Linked DNA regions of Drosophila melanogaster. The protein of the gene in region 1 interacts with the protein of each later gene in a biochemical or structural test. Each region holds a gene or a part of one and is shown on either strand. Other genes may lie near its edges.

Evidence for each region.
Region 2: of the proteins of gnu (region 1) and png, one has a biochemical effect on the other in vitro, tested with the Drosophila melanogaster proteins (2 studies listed by BioGRID).

What each region holds. Positions count from the first base shown.
Region 1 is NT_037436.4:14,801,688-14,805,118, forward strand, and holds gnu (giant nuclei), read right to left. Parts: upstream 1,674-3,431; 5' UTR 1,573-1,673; coding exon 1,545-1,572; intron 1,487-1,544; coding exon 792-1,486; 3' UTR 693-791; downstream 1-692. Other genes in the region: NHP2, read right to left, coding at 1-92, 153-403.
Region 2 is NC_004354.4:1,355,938-1,359,483, reverse strand, and holds png (pan gu), read left to right. Parts: upstream 1-1,882; 5' UTR 1,883-1,950; coding exon 1,951-2,826; 3' UTR 2,827-2,996; downstream 2,997-3,546. Other genes in the region: CG11417 (uncharacterized protein), read right to left, coding at 3,074-3,546.

The DNA.
Region 1 (3,431 bases):
TGTAGGTATAGGGGATGCCCTTCTCCTCGCAGACGGCTGGTAAGTGGCACATGATGTCCACAGGTGTAACGTCGCCAGCAAAGATGCAAATGCTGGAGAAGATGTGGGTATATTTCTTGTTGTCTTGCAGTCACGGATCACGCAGCACTTACCCAGTTTCGCCCTTGCGCAGGCGAGTCTGTACATCCTTAAGTCCATTTCGCAGGAAAGTCTTGTGCTTCATGGCCTTCTTCACCAGTTTGTAGCACTTTTTGGCCAGTTTTTTACCTGCCATCGGTTTCGCGATGGCGTTCACAAAGATCAGCTTGTCGTCGTAGGACTCCTCCTCCTTGATGGTAACATCGCCGCTGGCCACAACGGACTCATCGGCATCCTCGGAGCGCTCTACTTTCACTTTGCCCATTGCTTTTTTGATAAAAACGTGGATATTTTGTTTAAACGGCTTTTTGTTCGAAACACGTGTTCAGTGTGACCGCGGATCGACTTTTGAAGCATACTAGCGTGCCGCAAAAATATACTAAAATAAATACCGTTCAGACATGGATTAATGCGACTTACTCTATGGTTTGTGACTTTACTAATGTTTTTAGCTAAGTTCATACACTGAGAAAAATTATTACTTAATGTTAAATGAATATTAAATTAAAAATAGAGTTCCAATCCCAAGCCCCAATCACCGCGCAAAAATACTTCAAGACCACATTAAACATTTATTAAAATCTCACATACAAATTCAAATCCACATGACATAAAACAGTTTAAAATTAGCAGAAATCCTACAGGATATAAAATCAGAAGAATTGCTTGGCCAGTTGGATAATATTCATGGCCAATCGGATCTCCCGGGCGCCGCGAACGCCCAGTGCCGCCAAGTCCTCCAGGGTCATTTGGATGAGCACCTCGATGTCGATCTCCTGGCGCGTGAACAGCTCTGTGAGATGCGCGTTTCCGGTGCGATCGAGCAGGGATTTGACCCGAGGACTCAAAGTGGGGTGCTCCACCGGGGAGCAGGGCTTATAGCGTGAATGATGGATACTGGGAGTGGGACTTCTTGGGTCCTCCACTTTAATCTTTCGCGCACTTTTCAACTTGGATTCCTCCTGCCTCAGCCGCGTTTCCTGCTGCAGTCGGATATCCGGCTTTGGTCTGTCTTCTCTCTTAGTTCTCAGTAGTTTCGAATCTCCAGATTCTCCCAGTAGCCTGGTCTCCCCATTTATAAGGGTACTTTGACTTGTGGGCGAAAATACGGAACGCGTGCGCATAAATTTCTGTGAAAATCGACGGGGCAAAGTGGATTCCGATAGTCGTTTTAACCCGGACAATGCCGGTCGACTGTTAGGAACCGTAAGATTATTGTTCTTCGGCATTCCAAAGAGTCCGTATCTCGCGGTACCCTTCCTGCCAACGCCTCCAGTGGGCGTGACATCTTCGAATGTAAAAGCTTCGGTGGAGAGGGGAGTGAGTGGGGTCAGTGGGGATGCGGGATCTATTGAAAGTTAAAGGATATATTTTAAACTTGTTTACAAAAGTATTAGCAATACTACCTCTATAGACGCGATTGTAGCGCTCCATTCGGTAATTTTACAAATAATATTTTCCACGAGCACAAAAAAGACGACAAAAAAAAACGTGCAATAAGATTTGCAAAATGCAACTAACTGTAATTAACTGCTTTTTTAATGCGACCGCATTAAGAGCGGTTAAAATTACCGAAAATTCTGTGATCAGGCAACTCATAAAATCCTAGTCATAGAACCATGATCAGTGCTGAAAAACGATCCTTAAAAATAGATCATATAATGAGTTTTTAAGATCTAAATTACAATATGTATATTTCTTTTCAAGAAAATAAATTTCAACAACAGTCACAACTATCACAAAGTGCTTAAAAATATGATATAAGAATTATGCCTAATAACTAATTGTAAACTACAATAGTAAAAATAATTCATAAAAAACTCGAGAGTTTAGAAACTATATAAAAATGTGTTTTGTTTCTGTTAAGGTTTTTGTGCCTGTTTATAATTGATTAAGAATAAACGTTAATCTGGCACATTAGAATATTCATATCCATGTTTTTTTGCTATTGTTAAATCTCTGACTTTACCCTCGTGATTTGGGTGAAATAAATAAATTAGAATAAAAGTTCAAGGAACTCGCCACGCATTAATATTTACCATTTCACATGTCTAAGTACCAAATATCGTTTTTATACCGTCTACATAATATTATTTTGCTTCTAATTAAAGCGAGTTTGTCCAGTTTTTCAGTCGTTACTTTTGCGGTGCGATTTGATTTGATTTGCTTCGGTTTTTGCGTCGAAGTTTTTGCGACAAATCTTTTTTTTGCGAATTGGCAGTCAACAGATGAACCGATAAAATGTAAACAATTGTTGCACAAAACGTGCAAATTAATTTAACGAAAATAATCAATTAAGTTAATTTAATGACGCCGAAAATTCACAATTCTTGCGTGCAATAATGACAATATTCATAAAGAGCACTTGGAGTAAAAATTGACAATTTTTTTTATGAAAATGCCTAACCATAAAACATAAAAAATTTTACATTTTGTTATAAAATTTGCACAGTAATTTATTACTTCAATAGTCGTTTGCTGTGCAAATTAATGTATTTATTGAAAAATACTTTTTCATGTCATCTGATAATCATTTAAACATATATTAATTGTTTCGCTATGCATGAAAAAGAAAATATTACAGCTAAATACTAATTTAAACAAATTAATAGTTAGGAAACTGTAATATTGTATTGGTTATGCTCTAAAATATAAATACATTTTATTTTTGTCAAATGCTTAGCGTGCACTTCTTACTATATAATATATTTTTTTTATGAAACCTTAAGTAAGGCTTACTTACTAAAGATTCGGAACCATTTTCAAAACCAGTGACTTCAGATAAATAGATATCTATATTTATCTATGTATGTAAAGATATATTATTTTGTGTACTGTGAAATCATGACATTGCCACCTGTTAAAGCCCCACAGATATTTTGGCGCTGCTGCTGCTGTTGTTTGGGTTTTAGGCGCTTACCTTGCTTTATTTGGTTTTTCGTGGGCAAGAACAACATGGAATTATTGTCTTTGCGCAGTCGGCAATGCCGAAGCTTTGCAAACCCCCCACCCCCCCTGGCGACCAATAAACTCCCCCCTTTCGGCTAAGTTGGCCACATGTGGGGCTTGTTGTTGCCGGCTTTTGGCTAAGAAACAGCTGAGCTCGGCCAGCTGCTTTGTGTTTATATTTTTTTCACGAGCATCGAAGCGCCTGCGCACTAGCCATACATATATATACTTATATGCATATACATATATAGAGCCCCCCGATCCCGAAAGCCGAAGCGGAAAGCCGAGCTTTTTGTCGACTCGAGAACGGACGTATAAAATAGCGATGGCTGGGCACAAAGCGA
Region 2 (3,546 bases), on another chromosome or scaffold:
GTCGCTGAGAACGTATGTCGTTTTGATTCATTGTTCTAAGTCCACATATAACAATTACCAGAACAATATGGAATAATTATTTATTTTAGTAAATAATTACTATAGTCAATAATTGTTAGTTGTGCAAACTGCACTTTACACTTTGTGTTTAACTTTCACTATACTGTTGTAGTTTTTAGAACTTGCTATTCGTAGCTTGAAAGAAACACGTCTCCACCCGAAGACTGTGGAATGCCGAACGCGCGCTTTAATGCTATCTAAAATTGACTACGGACTGCCAATCTTCGGTTGGTGTGCTAAATCACACTTAAAAAAGCTACAAGTCCCATATCACGGAGCGGTCCGTCGCGCCATTCACGCATTTCCCACATCTCCAGTAGCGTGCACATTGGCAGAATCGGGTCTCCCGAGTATCCAATCACGCGTAGAAGAAACTACATTGATGCTTATCCCGAAGCTGTACACCACGTCAAACTGCCTGCTAACCAAAGACTTCGGAGCCATATTTAAACAAAAACGGAAATTCAAGTGCATATCCACCCTAAGACGTTGCGCCAACTACATCAAGCTACTTGACCTTCCCCTGCCTAAGCCCAGGAGGCCCTTCAAATCGCCAGCACTTTGGGGTTCCAAACAGCCTAACATAAACCTTCAAATATACAATGCTGCCAAAAAGGATACAGGTCGCCTAGAATACCAAAAACGTTTTATGAGCGCACAAGAAGATCTTGGTGTGAAAAACTGGATCTACACCGATGGTTCTAAAGTCACCGGCGCAACTACTTTTGCGGTTGTTGACTCTAACCGTAAAATAATTGCAGGAGGTAGGCTTCCGTCCTACAACTCCATATTTACAGCCGAAGCTTTCGCCATTCTCAAAGCATGCCAATTCGCTTCCAAAAACGCTGGAAAATCTGTTATCTGCACAGACAGCCTCTCCTCTCTTTCCGCTATACGCAACTGGAACCATAATGACCCCACAACACAAGAAGTTAGGCACATTCTAAGTTCTCACCCAAAAAAAATCACCTTACTCTGGGTTCCCAGTCATCAAGGTATTCATGGGAATGAACTTGCTGACAAAGCCGCCCAAGAGATGAGGCTTACACCATCAATCCTGTTCACTCCGTTTAACTCCAAGGACCTAAAAAGTCGAATCAAGTTATACCTCAAAGAAAAGAAACTCTCCGAATGGGCACTCTTCATGCACAGGTACCAGTCTATCAATCCGAATTGCATCATGTTCAAGCCACCAACGAACGTACATAAACGGGAATGCGCGACCTTTATCCGTCTACGCATCGGGCACACCCAATCCACACATCAACACTTACTGATGAGATCGGCGCGACCAACATGCCAACTATGCGGGGACGAGCTCACCGTTGACCATATTCTCAACGCCTGCAGTCAATTGCACTCAATTAGATCTCACTTATTTGGTACACATAGTCTCTCGAATTGTTTAAGTATCCCATCCTGTGAAAATATCTCAAAAATTTACAAATTTGTCCAAAAAGCTAAGTTTATTATATAAAGCAATTAACCCATAAGTCTCGAGTCGAAGGCCCCCGTAGCTAGTACTCATTAAATTTAATTAGGTTTAGTATTGTATACTATATTTAATTTTGTTAAATAAAATAAATAAAAATTTAGGATAGTCATACTTTTCACATGGATGGACTTTTTGAATGGGGTTAGTTCACGATGCGTTAGTTTGATTAATTAACCAGACTCTAATAACTTACTTTCATTGAGCACTGTTGCTGCTGGCCAGATGAGCAATTTTCATATGGGGTTTCCGAAGTTCCGAGTTTTCGGCTTTTTCCGATGGAACTGTGCATCTCTTGTTTCGAAGCAATCGATAGATGGCGCGCTTGCGCTTTTGCTGGCTAACTGTACATCAAGGCGGGATCGCGGATTACGCTTTCGGAACTCTGCGCACTCGAGATGGAACTGGGTGACTCTAAGCTGCGTGCGGTAAGGGTGCTGGGCCAGGGCACCTTTGGCCGGGTCTTCCTCTGCCACCAAAACGAGGTGCGCGGACAGCCGGAGAGGAAGGTGTGCGTGAAGCGGATCATCGTCCGGAATCCGAAGACAGAGTTGGGATTGATCAAGGAGGAGGTGTACATCATCTCGCAGCTGCGCCACCCGCACATCGTTGAGTTCCTGCGCTCCTTTAGCCACGCGGGCACTGTGAACATCGTGATGGAGTACGTGCCCAACGGCACCTTGAGGGATGTCATCCAGCAGCTGCCGTCAGGCACCGGGGGAGTCAATCAGGAGCGGCTGATGGGCTACTTCCGCGACATGGTAGTGGGACTCGAGTACCTGCACATCCGCTGCGTCATCCACCGAGACATCAAGCCCGAGAACATGCTCCTCGACGCCAACGACCGCGTCAAGATCGCCGACTTTGGGATCGCGAACGTTCATGCGCCCAGCACTCAACTGCAGGCGGGCATGGGCACGCCCATGTACATGGCCCCGGAGGCGATGTCCAGCCAGGGCAAGGTGGATTTCAAGTCGGACGTGTGGTCACTGGGGCTAGTCCTCTACGAGCTGTGCCTCGGACGCAGCCCCTTCGCCGCGTTTCTCGACAAGAACGCCACCCCTGCCCTACTGCACACCGTAGTCCAGGCGCTGGTCCGCCCCCGGCTCGACTGCCAGCTCATCCGGCGTCTCTACGATCCCGTGTGGGCGCAAGTTTGCGAGCTGATGGTCGTTTACGAGCAGGAGCGCCGCATCTGCCTACCAGACATCTTCCACCTCGACGCCGGCATGACTGTGACCCTCTACAAGCATTACTTCAGCTACAGCTACTAACGGAAGCCAATGGTCAGCTCACCAGCACGAGGAGACCTCAACAAATATTTCATTGTACTTAAGAACTAGGCTAGCTTAAGCGATAAATTAAGGTGTGTGCTGTGCTTTGTGTGCGCCTGTGCTTTTGCCAGGGGATCTGTCAGCTATAAACAGTATATAATGTATATTCCAAAACAGTCTCGCTCAATGTCATTAACGTAGTCTTTAATTTACATTTGTTCACCTATTGTACAGTAACATTAATCCTCTAAAGCTTCTGGCCCTGCTGCTGCAGCTGGATCTTACGCTTCAGACTCTTTACCAGGGCGTTCTGCTCCAGCTGCTGCTTACTCCTCTTGGGGGCTACCTGCTCATCCCCATCCGCATCGCCGTTTGCAGCGCCGCCCTCCCCCTGCTCCTTTCTGCGCTTTAACTTCTCGCCGATGATCTGCTGCATGCCCTTGGTGGGCTTGTAATGGGAGTGGGTGGGATCGATGTTGTACTCGTGCGACTTGTAAACGGCACTGAAGCGATTATCATTCAGGTTTACCTGGAAGTCGTCGTCCAGCTTCTCCGCATTCTGCGGCTGATTTTTCGATTTCTTTAACTTCTGACGACGCTTTCGCTTTGAACCGCTCGCTTCTTGCTCCTCCTTCTTGAGGATTTTGGTCAGACTGAAGTGTTGCTTCTCGTCGCGCCCGTCGCCATCGTCCAGCAGTAGCTCAAGCTCCTTCTCTTGCC